Tamandua tetradactyla: one gene and its partner. The protein of the gene in region 2 purifies or fractionates together with the protein of the main gene of each other region. This does not show direct contact. Links are inferred from orthologs where the notes say so. Each region holds a gene or a part of one and is shown on either strand. Other genes may lie near its edges.

Region 1 (7,332 bases), on a different chromosome or scaffold from region 2:
AAATCTAGCTCAGTTATCATCTCCCACGAGGTCTTCTCCAATCACCCTGAATTAATCTCTTTCTCCTTTGTTACTTAGGTATCTTGTATGTGGGTCTATTTTTCTTCTTAACACTACACAATAATTACATTTGCTTATATATAAGGGCAAAGACCAGAGACTTCATTACATTCTCTTTAACAATAACATTATAATTTCTGTGTCTGATATAGTAGGTGCTCAATAAATGTCAGCTAAATTGAACTGAAATCAAATTCACAAGATAAGTCAGAGCAAAAGTTACACTACAAAGACAAAAAGGTAATAAACATCTCCCAAATAGTCACATAGCTGGACGAAAATTAAGACTTCAAATTTGGGGGTGGGGAAGCATAATCAAAAACAACAAAAATAAATAAATCAAAACCGCAATGAGATACCACTTTACACCCACTAGGATAGTTCTTATTAAAAAAAAAAAAGTGTTGGCAAGGAAACAGAGAAAGTAGAAACCTTATACACTGTTTGTGAAATGTTTGTAGGAATGTTAAATGGTGCAAACCAGTATAGAAAGCAATTCTGCAGCTCCTCCAAAAGTTAAAAAGAATTACTATGTGACCTGGCAAGTGTACTCCTACGTATATACATAAAAGAACTGAAAACAAGTATTCAAATAAAAACTTGTATATGAATGTTCATGGCAGCAGTACTGTCAATAGTTAAAAGATGGAAACAACACAAATGTCCATCAACTGATGAATGATAAACAAAATGTGGTATACCCATATAATGGAATATTATTTGGCTATGAAAAGAAATGAAGTACTGATACAGGCTACAACATGTGTGAATCTTGAAAACACTGCACTAAGTGAAAGAAGCCAGTCACAAAAGAACACATATTATATGATTTTGTTTATATGAAATGTCCAGAATAGGCAAATTCACAGAGACAGAAAGCAGAATAGGTTAGGGAGAGGAAAGGATGAAGAATAACTGCTTATTGGGCACACTGTTTCCATCTAGGATGATGAAAATGAACTTGAATTAGATTGTGGTTATTAATTGCACAACACTGTAAATGTACTAAAATTCTAGTGAATTAACTTTATAGTTAAAATGGAAAATTCTGTTATGTGTATTTTACAATGAAAAAAATCACATAATTATGTTTTTTAAAAAATCAGCACAAACCTGTGAAGGAAGTAAAAACCACTGAGTTGAGTTATATACTTTCAAAGGGTGAAGGGGATGGTATGTGAATTATATCTCAATAAAGCTGTTTTTTTTTTAAATCAAATCCTTTCTTGCCCCTCCTCTAAAATAATAAAAAAGTCAATAGAGACAGAAAAGGAAAGAAGAAGTTCTTGTATTCACAGGTAAGAAAAAATAAGAAAGGGATGACTGACTCCAAACTGCTTACATTATTTGTTCTCTCCATAGCTATAGTGACTACAAAGAGACTGCACACGGTGCTACAGTGAGGTTATCACCAAACAACGTATCATTTATACTGCAGACGTCCTAAAAGGAGGGTAGAGAGAGCATATAAGCACTCACCAGCAGACAGTGGGCAAAGTCAGGACCTCCAACAAGTCCAGTGAAATTTCCCAGTTGCTCAGCAAGAGCTAACAGCACCTCATCTTCATCATAAATTGTATCTGGAAATGACAACAAGGTATTCATCAAAAGGTAGCTGGTCCAAAGTCAGATACTCATACAAAACTTGGAGTACAATATATGGCTAATAAGATAAGCAAGTCACAATTTTAACAGGATTTCCTTCCTTCTCCTCAATTAAGGAAGTTTTCCTGGATATGTTTTACAGAATGAATTACAAATTAATACTCCCATATCAATGATCAATTTTAAACTAGCTAAATAATTAATGTTTGAATACATATGACCACATTACAATATTCTTTACACTGTTTTACACAGAAAGCACCCGGCTCAGATTAGTTAATATTGTGGTTACCAACTCTAAAAAACAGACAAGGTTTTGGAAGTCACTGGAAAATGGAAATACCCATGCCCTTCTTTAAAGGAACATTCACATACCAGTAAGGAACGGCAGCAGTTCAGTTCGAGTCCTTTCTACTCCAAGTGCTAGAGCAATTGTTGATAACTTCTTAATACTGTTGAGACGGAGCTTTTTAAAAAGAATACGGAATAACAAAGTAAAGAAACGATTGCAATTTAGACCAAAAGAGAAAGCCATAGTTGCAAGATGGTGATTATAATGAGACAGGGTAAGAGTGAAGAAAGCACTCAATTTAGATTTTATTCCTTGAGGAACCTCTGGTGCACCGTAGCATGGCCTCATTAGCCAGAGCAAGATTTCCTAGGAGCAACATTCAGAAAAAAAAATAAACGAAAAAGAATTCAATACCCAGGAAGTGAGATAATTTTAAAAAGAATTTAGCAGTGGTTAAGTGAAACGGTCGAATACAACTCCTGAATGTTCAAAGAAAAGTTCCATCAAAGATGATACGCTAACTCAACCATCCTGGATCTGTCTACCCAACAAGCCCGGCCAGTTTCTAATCCTTGGGAAGGCATTTCATCTGCTCACCAAGGGGCCCTTAAGGCACCCTGCGACCCGCGGCGGGGAACCCCTTCCTCCGGCTCCACAAGGGAGCCGGCCCCAGGCAGAACAGCGTTTTCCACCGCACCGTCCGGAAGAGGCGTCCAGGAAGGAAGCCGGTAGTCCGACAACCGCCTAGACCGGGTCGGGCGCGGGCCGATGCGCCTCAGGAGGTCGGGAGAAGTAAGAGTCGGTGAGCTGCCGGAAAGGCCGGGCCACCACAGCCCCTCGCAAGTCTTCCTCTCCTCACCCTCAAGTTTCTGCTCCGAGTCTCCGGCCTTCCCCCTTGCCTACCAGGCGCTGGCCCTGCCCATCTGAGCTCCCCGGCCGAGCTCAGTACCTGCACGTCTTCATTGCGGAGCTCGTCGATTAAAACCGCGATCGGGTATAGCGAATCGTCTCCATCCCCGCCCGCGGCCCCCGAGTCGGTGCCGGGCCCAGCCGCGCCCGCCATGTTCTTCCTCTTCTCGCGGGTCGCCACCGCCTTCTCGGCGCCCAGGCCCCGCCCCTACTCCGCCCCGCCCCGCGCCCAGGCCCAAGGAGGAGGAGCCAAGGCCCACGCGCGGGCTCGGCGGAACCCAACCCCGGAAGCCGAATCTCTCCTGCCGGCTAGCGGAGGTTCCTACTGGACCCCAGGTGCAAGACCTGTACATCTGAACTCCAGAAGGTTTCGCTGACTGGATGCCCCGCGCCGTTACTTCAGCCCAGAGACGCACGAACTGGGATTCTTCCATCTCGTTGTGGTCTGAAGGGGCCAGGGACCTACCTAAGTGATCCTTACTGAGCTCTGTTAACACACGGGCATGCCAAACAGGATTCCCAAGGCCGGAGGGAGAGGGGAAGACTTGGACTCCTTTCTCTGCTTTCATCCTGGCCCTTATCAACTGGGGTCTCCAGCACAAATTTCTCCAGCCTCAGACGTCTGCAAAACCTCCTCCTAAGGCCTATTCGCCCGGATTACTGATTCTAGCTTCTGCTCTATAAGGCAGATGACGTAGGCGGTGAGAGAAAATGAACAGTGCCTTCCAAACTCCCCAGTCAGTATTTTTTCCACTTTCTCTACGCAAGCTGTTAAAAACATACTGCTTTCTTGTTTTTGTGTTTCTTTTCAATCTTGGATCTGGAATTGTCCCTTGTGTTGTATTTTCTTATTTTCTTTATTTATGAAACATAACCACATATAAACACAAACATTCTTATCATATGATCATTCCATTCTTGTTGTATAATCAATAACTCACAATATCATTACACAGTTGTATATTCATCATCATGATCATTTCTTAGAACATTTGCATCAATTCAGAAATGGATAGCACAATACTACCTAACTGTAATACAATAATGTTAAAACCCTGAAGGAAGCTGAATGTGAAAATGATAGAGGGAGGAGGCCTGGGGGCACAAATGAAATCAGAAGAAAGGATAAAGACTGAGATGGTATAACCTTGTGTTGTATTTTCTTTCTCCTTATTTTTTTAGCTCCTTAACATGCTAGAAATAAAACTAGGACAAGCCTAATTCTTCAAAGTGGGTGGGGTGGCTATTTGACTTGTACAGGAAAAACCTAAAATGGCCTTCCTAGACTTCCAACAGTTCTCAAAAGCAGCAATGGTTAGAGGTAAGGTTTTTGAATTCTTTCTTATTACAAAACCTAATGTAAAATTTTCATTTACCCTTGTTAAGGGAGCACAGAATAACTGAAACATCTTTTTTTTTTTTCTTTGAACTGAAATTTAAGCAACTCAGAGTGAGAACCACATATGCTTGATCACAAGCTCTGGAATGGTAATTCTATGTGTCTGATTAACAATTAATAAATGCAACTTAGGAGAAAAAAAAATTTTTTTAAACATAGGGTCCCTGGAAGTAAACATAGTAAACATGGTTTTTGGTAGTAGAGAAAAGTTACCAAAGTACCTGAACAGTGTTCTTACATTAGGCCTGCAGATGTATTCTCTAGGGTTTTAATTTGTTTTCATTTCGATAATTATTTTTAGATTTGCATAAGTAATTTTTGGATTACTTGGATGACCACCTTATATCCTAGGATTGCCATACAATTTCAGCACCTACATTTGCCTGTGTGTTTCAGGGCTCTTTTTATTCTTCTGGGATAGTAAGAAAGGAACAGAGGTAGATTTAAAATAAAATTGATGCTTTTATGCAGAAAGTGAAAACCAAATGACATCACGGGTCTGCATAGTCTCAGTACTTCTAACAGAGGAAAGTGTAAGAAAATTCGGATACTGATGGTCACTTGGTGTCATAGGCATATAAATTCAAAAATAGCTGAACTAATATTGTGAATTACTGATTATATACGTAGAATAGAATGATCAAAAGTTACGAATGTTTGAGTTTATTTGGTGTTTTTTGGTATTTAAAAAAATTTTTTTTAATTAAAAAAAAAAGTAGCTGAACTTTGCCAAGCAATACCATGGTTAAGATACAAGGTATGGTTTAGTTTCAGCAAAACAGCATCATTTGTCATGTTAAGTTACTATATTATCAATACAAATATTACTAGTTTGTGGTTTCATTTGTATTTAATTGTAAACGTGTTTTATTTTACTTTTTTTCAGTTGGAAGAAAGGTAAATAAAAGGACTTGATATTCCTGATTTGTATTTGTAAAGCTAAGTAACACTGTAATAAAAAATAATTTAAATCAAGAATTTTTAGGATTTTTTTTACTTTAAAAATGATCCATATACTACTCAAGTTTGAGGACACAGAGGATTTTAACAGTTAGAAGAGGATCAGAAGGACATTTTGGTAGAGGGAGGAGAAATCTGTTCCCATATACTTTATGTAAAAAGGCTTCAGAAATGATAAGCAAGCACAGAGAAGTAGATCAGATCAGTTTCACACATATTATCTTCTAGATAGTAGCTCAAGTTTAGAAGAGCCTTGTTGGGGATTAAATCATGTCGCCCTCCCCACCATCCCACAAAAGGCATGTTCAGGTCCCAACCCCTGGTCCTGTGGGTATTAACCTACTTGTAAATAGAGCCTTTGAAGATGTTATTATATAAACTGTGCCCAAACTCAATGAGGGTGGACCTTAATCCAACAGAAGCAAAGGAAATTGACAAACAGTAAGAAGCCACAGAGGGATAAATTGGAAATCAATGAACTGGGAAGAGAAAGGAGAATTTTGATGCTGTCATGGGCATTACAATGTGATAGAAAAGCCAAGGAACCCCAGAGATTGCCAGACAGCCAGAATAAACTGACCCCGGGAGGTAACAAGCCATTCTAGCCTCTGAATTTTTTTTTTCTTAATTTAAAAAAATTTTTTAAACATAACAGCATACAAACACAAACATTCTTACCATATGGTCATTCCATTCTTGGTATATAAACAATAACTCACAATATCATCACATAGTTGTATATTCATCACCACGATCACCTCTTAGAACATTTGCATCAATTCAGAAAAAGAAATAAAAAGAAAAAAATTCATACATACCATACCTCCTACTTGTCCCCCTTACCAATCACCAGCATTTCAATCTACTAAATTTATTTTAACATTTGTTCCACCTATTATTTATTTATTTTTAATCCATATGTTTTACTCATCTGTCAATAAGGTAGATAAAAACAGCATCAGACACGAGGTTTTCACAATCACACAGTCACACTGCAAAAGCTATATCATTATACAGTCATCTTCAAGAAACATAGCTACTGGAACACAGCTCTATATTTTCAGGCAGTTCCCTCCAGCCTCTCCATTACACCTTAACTAAAAAAGGTGGTATCTATATAATATGTAAGAATAACCTCCAGGATAACCTCTCAACTCTGTTTGGAATCTCTCAGCCATTGACACTTTGTCTCATTTCGATCTTCCCCCTTTTGGTCCAGAAGGTTTTCTCAATCCCTTGATGCTGAGTCCCAGCTTATCCTAGGATTTCTATCTTACATTGCTAGGAAGGTCCACACCCCTGGGAGCCATGTCCCATGTAAAGAGGTGGAGGGCTGTGAGTTGGCTTGTCTTGGCTGAGAGAGAGGCCACATCTGAGCAACAAAAGAGGTTCTCTTGGAGGTGACTCTTAGGCCTAATTTTAAGTACCTAGCCTCTGAATTTTTAATAATAAATTCCTGTTGTTAAACCAAGCCATTGTATCGTATTTATTTTAGCAGCTAGGATGCTAATATACTAACTACATATACTAACAAATTTGGCACACTGATGATGTTATTTTGTTTAAAACTTAAATATGCTTTGCTTACCCAAGCACAGTGAGCTGGAGTCCTGAGGAATAACTATGATTAAATATGAAATCATGGGCCAAGAAAATAAAGCCCCATAAAACTGCCTGCTTTGAGAGTCATCAGTTCTGTACTTCAATTCCCACCTCTGCCTCTGACTCATTATAACCATCATAACCTTCCTCTTCCTATGCCTATACGCCAGCCCCCCAATAAAAAGGGGCTAACAACCTTTGGTTCTCTCTCTAGTTACCATGATGCTGTGAGAATGACACATGTAATAAACCTAGAGATGCTAATAAATCCTTCAATAAAGAAAGTGACTGAAACAGACTTCAGGAGAAAAAAAAGAGACTATTTAAAAAACTGGGCCAAATGGAAACAAAAACAAAGTCCAAAGCAGTCTTTTGGGGATTTCGGTCTACTGGCCATCTGAATTACCTAAGCTACTTTGTTAAAAAATGCAGATTCCTGGCCTCTACACCAGACCTACTGAATGAGTTCCTGAGAGGGTACCAGACGTTTTAATATGCACCCTTG
Region 2 (7,188 bases):
TCTCAGAACGCCAACTTCTCACTCAGGGACTCACGGCAGCTATTTCTGAAGCTCTTGAAAATAAACCGGGGGCAGATATTTCTCTCAGCATCTTAATCATATAGTCATCACACATAAAATGTCAAAAAAGAACCCAATAAAGGATGATATCGTCCATATTTTAAGACTTCAACTTCTGTGTGAGACTAAAGGAAGAGATTTTTATTTGGTGCAAAATTTATATTTTGGGTAGTGCATTTCCTAACTTAACTTGTATGGTAAGTTTAGCTGAACACCATAAGTACATAGAATCTTGAACAGGGCATAAGATTGTGTTGGTTTGTCCAGGTTAATGCGATGCTCTGATAAATACCAGAGAGATTTGGACAGTGAATAAATATTTGCAAAGTCCCGTTGGGGGAATGGGGAGAAAGGGGGAAATATTCAACTTCACCATTTGGAGAACTTCTGATATTCTCACAAGCAATGGGGACAACCAAATCAACAGGCCAAGCCCTCAATCTTGGGGTTTGCCCCTACTAAACCTATTCCTGCAAAGGATAGGCTAAGCCTGCTTAAAATTAGGCCTAATAATCACCCCCAAAGAACCTCTTTTGTTGCTCAAATATGGCCTCGCTCTCTAAGACCATACAGCAAGCGATTTACATCCAGCGGTGTAAATCTCCCTGGGAAATCCCAGGATGAGACAGGACCGGCATCGAGGGATTGAGAAAGCCTTCTTGATCACAAGGGGGAAGAGAGAAATGAGACAAAATAGTGTCAGTGGCTGAGAGATTTCAAACAGAACTGAGAAGTTAACCTGGAGGTTATTATTATGCATTATATAGACATCCCTTTTTAGTTTATGGTGTATTGGAGTGGCTATCAGGAAGTACCTGAAACTGTGGAGCTGTGTTCCAGTAGCCTTGTTTCTTCAAGATGATTGTATAATGATATAGCTTTTACAATGTGACTTGTGACTGATTGTGAAAACCTTGTGTCTAATGCTCCTTTTATCTAGGGTACAGAAAGATGAGTAAAAAACATGGATAAAAATAAACAAATAATAAGGTGAACAAAGGTTAAAGTAAATTGGGTTGATGGAAATGCTAGTTGTCAATGAGAAGGAGGGGTAAGTGGTATGGTATATATGAACTTTTTCCTTTCAATTTCTTTTTCTGGAGTGATGCAAATGTTCTAGAAAATATTCATGGTGATGGATACACACAGTGATGCAAATGTTCTAAAATATGATCATGGTGATGAATACACAACTATGTGATGATATCGTGAGTCACTGATTGTACACCATTTATGGAATGTTTGTATGTTTGTATGTCAAGTTTTGTCAATAAAAAATATTAAAATAAATAAAAGAACCTAAAGCCTGGAGGCTTCATTCCGCACCCATCAGCAAACCCAATCCCCTGTGACCCCAGCTGGTTCACAAAAGCCTGCCCAGCAGTCAAGCAGCCGGTTCCCAGCGTTCCCAGACAGCTCCCACCTCCTGCAAGGGCCCTGAGCCTGGAACTGAACTGCACTCCCGCCTCTGCCTCCCATACAGAAGCTCCTGTGGGCGCCCCTGCACCCCTGATGGAGCACTCACGCTGGTGGGATCACGCTCCATTCTCTAAGGGCTGATTCCAATACCCGCCAACAGTCTAAGGCTGCCCCAAGCTCGCATTTACGAACAAAACCAAATGGCTAGATGAAGAGAAACGTGGCAACCAGAAGGGTCCATTCTACTTCACCATCACCTTTAAATCACACCTTTCTTTCAAAGAACAAAAAAATTGGGGGGGGGGGGGGAGCGAGGGAAGGGCGGGTCCAGTGGAAAGCTCCCACCGCGGGACCGGCAGAACCGTTCTCTGAAAACTGCACGGCCCACCTGAGTCCGCAGGTCCTGTCGGGAATCACCTAACGTCTGCAACTGCACACTGCGGTCAGGAGAACCATTAACCAAAGATGAATGCCAGATGTGATCTTCCAGGTGCCCTCCCAACGCCACGGGAATACACCGCACCTTCTGCCTTCCCTAGGCGTGGAGAGGGCCGAGTGAACTCCCCGGCCACATTTCCGAACTCCTTAGCCCGCGGGGATCAGGGTTCTCCCCATGCCTGTCCAGAAGTGCCGGAGCCCAGGCCCGGAGCGCCCCTAACCTTCAAATCTTCCACTCCCGGGTGAAATATAAATTCCTTAGTACAACCAACAACGCGCACCATCTCGATCCGCACCGTTCCTCGTACTCGGCAGCCAAGGCTCTTGTCTCAGGGGGTTCACACCCACATACAACCCAGAAACTTGCTCCTTACCTGGTTGGCAAATCCCCTGAGGTGAGCCATATCCCCCGCGGCGTCACACCATTCGCCTGCAACCCGAGGAGGCCTCCAGATGGCCGTCTGGATGCTCAGGAACCCGGCTCGCTCGCGAGGTTCGCTTCAGTCCACTGTGGCGGGGACAGCAGGCCTGCTCGGGCTTCCCTGGGGTCCCCGTGGCCGGGCCGCGCCCCACAGCCCCACCCGGCCGTCTCCACTCCCCTCCTGCAGACAGTGCCTGCCTCCGCGCCCCCGGCCGGTCCTGCCGAACGCCAAAGCACCCTCCGAGAGCCTCGCCGGCCGCGCACCCCCGGCTGCACGGGCTTCTCCCGCACCGCATCCCCCGGCCCGCCTCACTGCAGGGTCCTCCCTGGGCCCTGCCCGCCCCCGGTACCCGCCCCCCGACTCTCCTCCCACCACGGAGCCAGCCCGGCGGCCTCCCTCCGCCCCGCCCCGCTGCTCCGGGCCCCCCACCCTGTGTTCGGCCCCCTCCCCAACCGCCAGGGGAAGCCCTCGGGGCGGCGCGCCCACCTCCGGGGGGCTCCATCCCGGGCTCCCCCGGCCCGTTCCGCAGCGCCCGCGAAAGCCCCCACCCGCAGCCTCGGTCCGCCTGGGGAAGCCCGGGCCTCTCAGCCCCGAAATAAAGGTAGTTGCGGCGGCGCCGGAGAATGGCCGGCGGCGGGGAGAGATACGCGCGGCGTCGTGGCCCGGCCGCAGTGCTCTCTGGGACACCCAGTTCCACAGCGCGCCCTGCGGCGGGGCGCCGCGGACGGTGGACTACAAGCCCCAGCAGGAGCCGGGGCGGGCGGGTCCGGGAAGGGGTCGTGCGCGAAGGCACGCCCGCGAGGCTCGCTGGGACTTGGAGTCCCTCTTCCTAAGAAGCTCCGGACTCCGTCTCCCGGCAGGCCGCAGGGCAGGCGGCGGCGTCAGGACGGCGGGGGCGTCTCAGCCGGGCCCTCCACCCGCGTCCTGACTGGCGTTTGTCGTTCGCAGGCGCCGTCTGGGCTTCGCCTTGGTAAGCCACGACGGACCCTTCCCGAGCGCAGAGCCAGCCACGCCCTCGTCCCGTCCCCGGTCCCGCCCTGCTGCCCTCCCCGGGCGCCCGCGCCCTGCTAGTTCGCCTCGGGATCCCGATTCCCGCCCGGCCCTCAGCGAGAACCTCTTCCCAGGACGGCCTCAGTATCCTCCCACAACCGGGTTCGCGGCCGCGGCTCCCTCAGACCGCTGAGAGGCCATCCAGTGTGATCGCTTCCCTCTCCTGCCTTGGTTTCTCCATCTTGGTTTCCCTCCAGGACCCACCTGATGGCGCGGGGACACCTGCGGACAAAGCCCGTCGCTGAGGGGCGCTCATGGTCTCATGGGCTGTTGGCGCCCCCAGCTGACGCACCCCTGGCCCTGGACGGTGACCCGCCCTGTCCAGGGGCTCAGGAAGATCTGCGGAAGGGAGGACAGAGTGCGCTTCCCAGACAGGTCGCAGGGCCAGCGGCTGGACGGCCCCAGGGTGCGGACGTCAGGGCAGCCACCACCACTGCCCGCGAAGCCTTGGAGGCCCGCGCCGTGCCCCTGGCAGCGCCTTCCTAGTGCACCCTTGTCCTGTGGAAAAGGCTTGTTTCTTCTGCCTTGGGTGGGCCCTCCAAGACCATCTGGACACCCCGTGCTCCTGCTGTCCCTCAGAACGGAGCTGGTCCTCCTGAGTTACTTCAGTCTCCTAAGTACAGGGGCTTCCTGGCTGTGCATGGAAGGCCCCCTGCGCACCTGTGTGCAGGTCACTCGTGGCCACCTGATCTTTCACGGGTTGTGTTATTTACCGTCAGCTAAGCACTGGCAAGCAGGCTGTGCCTACATCCTCCCCACACAGGGCAGGCATGCAGTGAAAGTTGTGGAGTGAATGTGTGAGTGCAGGAAAGTAATATGTATGAATAACTCCTCTTAGATCCATCAGAGAATTGAGGGCACAGGGCAAACTACCCGAAAAACTGGAGAGAGAGGCAGAAATGTCTCAGCTTATCAAGGGCAGGAACTGCAGCAGAGCCACCCTCAGCAGGACAGCTTACAGGGTAGTTGACTACTTCAGGCCAATGAAGATGGATTAGCATGAGAAAGAAAATTTCCAGGGGGTCCCAGGGAGACCCCTACACTTTCTTGAAGTCTGTCTCTAGGGGTACCACCAAATTACTGCTGTGAAGATGAGAGAAAAAAATCTCCTCATGCTTCCAGCACAAGGGGAAGGGACCATTGTGAATAGTGTCCTTGTTCCCTTATAAATAAATGTCTGTCCCCCGGGGAAACTCTCTTACCAGCACCTCGCCAACACAGGTCTTACCAGAGTTGGACAACCCCCAGAGGGAAATAACCAACTCCAGCCTCATCTAACCTTCTGCAAGCAGGGAAGGAAGGACCCAGAGCTAGTCCACTTTAGCCTTCCTGCTTCACCTAAGGGGTCAAAACAAAACAAAAAATACAGATGAAAAATACTGGGTCACAACCTAGGGTCACAGGCTCACTAAAAGACCAAGACTAACTGTAGGACTCTTCTTGTCCCACATCAGTAGGGCTCCTAGATAAGAACAGGGATTATAGCTGAAAAGAACTCCAGAGTTCTGGCCCTATTTAAGGAGAAATCTCCAAGGAAATACAGAGACATAAACAAGGACCCTAGAGGAAATTTTAGCCTTTGACATCACAGCTACAGCAAACAATAAACACAACCTATCTTCTAGCTTGATACATTTAAAATCCTCAGTTAAAGGCCTATTCACCTCTGTTCCTATTGCCTCATACATCATGTCCAACTTTCAATAAAAAACTACGAGTCATGCCAAAAGGCCAAAAACACAGTCTAAAGAAGCAGAACAAGCATCAAATGAGACTCAAACATGGCAGAGATTTTGGAATAAAGTGGAAATTTAAACTATAATTTATGTGCAGAAAACTCTAGTGGAAAAAAGTGAATGATATGCAAGAACAGATGAGTAATGTAAGCAGAAAGATGCAAACTCTAAAAAAAGAAAATCAAATGCTAGAGAACCGCACTCTGATCAAAATGGCAGAATGAGAAGCTACAGGGCTCTGTGTCCACTACAGGAGATTTGAACAACCAGCAAGAACTGCCCAAAGCAGCTTTCTCAAAACTCCAGAAAACAGTTAAAGGACTGCACTAAAAGAGCAAACACCAAATCAAGAAAAGGGGATCTTAAAACCAGTAGAATCTCGTGGTACCCTGGCTGTCCTCTCTCCACCCTCCCTAGCATGGCCCTGGCCCATGCTCCCACTGTGGATCCCTGGTCTTCGCTCTGGAGGGAGCTGAGTCACCCTTGTGCACATGCTGGGAGCAGGGGGGTCTGGCCCAGTCTCACTGGTGGTGGCCTGAGGGACTCGCTGTCCCAGAACCTGCCCTGTGTGTAGAAGGTGGGTCACAGAGTTCTCCTACAGGGCTGTGGGGACCAGGCCAGTGGCTGCCTGGGGCAGGGGACTGCTCGCTGAACAACACACAGTGCAGGGCCAGGGACTGTGAGGAAACTGTTCCTTAAAGAAGAGGGGACATTCTCAGCCATTTAAACAGAGGGACTCCTAGGGCCATTCACACATGCCTGTGACCTGTGCATATGCTGAAAGGATCAGGGAGGTCCCTACACTTTGGCCTCAAACTATTCTCTAAACTCATTATCTAGGTAAGCTCTGAAAGAGAGCACTCAAGCAAGTCAGTCTGCAAAGACTGGGAAAGGTATTTTCTTTAATTTCTTCCATTTTTTTTTGTTTGTTTATTTTTTGTTTCTTATATTTTGGTTAGCTCCTGGCATTCAAGGAAAGCTCGGATCCAACACTACCTGGATACAAGCTTAAAGAATAGTTGCCTCAGAAAGTAAATTCCAGCAGTAACACACTAAAACATGAAAATGTCCAGGTTTCAACAAAACATTCAAAGAAACAGGAAGCAATGTCCCAGGCAAAGGAGAAGATTAAAGTGCTGGAGACCAACAATGAGGAGGACCAGACCTGGTACATACCAGACGAAGACTTAAAAAAAAAAAAAAGAAAAAAAGTTCTAGTGAGAAGCGGCTGCAAAACCGAGCACAGGAGGCAGGAAGCCTAGTGCAAGCAGTAGTTGGGCACCATGGCGGGGATCACCACCATCGAGGAATTGAAGTGCAAGATCTACGTTCTATAGCAGCAGGTCAGTGATGCTGAGGAGAGAGCCGAGCACCTCCAGCGGGAAGTGGAGGGAGGAAGGGAGGCCGGGGAACAGGCTGTGGCTGAAGTGGCCTCCTTGAACTGAAGGATCCAACTGGTTGAAGAAGAGCTAGACTGCTGAGCGCCTGGCCACTACCCTGCAAAAGCTGGGGAAGCAGAGAAAACTGCTGAGGAGTACGAGAGAAGTATGAAGGTTATTGAAAACTGGGCTTTAAAAGATGGAACTCCAGGAAATTCAACTCAAAGAAGCTAAGCACATCACAGAAGAGGCAGATCGGAAGTACGAGGAGGTGGCTCGTAAGTTGCTGATTATTGAAGAGGATTTGGAACGCACTGAGTAAGGAGCTGAGCTGGCAGAGTCCCGTTGCCAAGACATGAATGAGCAGATCGGCCTGATGGACCAGAACCTGAAATGTCTGAGTGCTGCTGAAGAAAAGTACTCTCAAGAAGAAGACAAATATGAAGAAGAGATAAAGATTCTTACTGATAAACTTAAGGAGGTAGAGCGAGTTTGCTGAGAGATCAGTAGCCAAGCTGGAAAAGACAATTAATGATTTGGAAGATAAACTGAAAACCACCGAAGAGGAGCATCTCTGTACACAGAGAATGCTGGACCAGACTCTGCTTGACCTGAATGAGATGTAGAACACCCCAGTACCACACTGCTGCTGCTCCTCCCTTTGACCCTGACTCCACCTGAGGC

Evidence for each region.
Region 1: the proteins of STK25 (region 2) and PPP2R1B purify together in Homo sapiens (affinity purification with mass spectrometry; 3 studies listed by BioGRID and IntAct, with this or other methods). This does not show direct contact. The link is inferred for Tamandua tetradactyla from reciprocal best matches to the Homo sapiens genes STK25 and PPP2R1B.

Annotation. Positions count from the first base shown.
Region 1 is NC_135334.1:29,613,587-29,620,918, reverse strand, and holds the start of PPP2R1B (serine/threonine-protein phosphatase 2A 65 kDa regulatory subunit A beta isoform), read right to left. Parts: upstream 3,069-7,332; 5' UTR 3,021-3,068; coding exon 2,907-3,020; intron 2,132-2,906; coding exon 2,041-2,131; intron 1,641-2,040; coding exon 1,540-1,640; intron 1-1,539. UniProt on the Homo sapiens protein: The PR65 subunit of protein phosphatase 2A serves as a scaffolding molecule to coordinate the assembly of the catalytic subunit and a variable regulatory B subunit.
Region 2 is NC_135329.1:80,165,934-80,173,121, forward strand, and holds the start of STK25 (serine/threonine-protein kinase 25), read right to left. Parts: upstream 3,018-7,188; 5' UTR 2,826-3,017; intron 2,446-2,825; 5' UTR 2,322-2,445; coding exon 2,292-2,321; intron 1-2,291. UniProt on the Homo sapiens protein: Oxidant stress-activated serine/threonine kinase that may play a role in the response to environmental stress.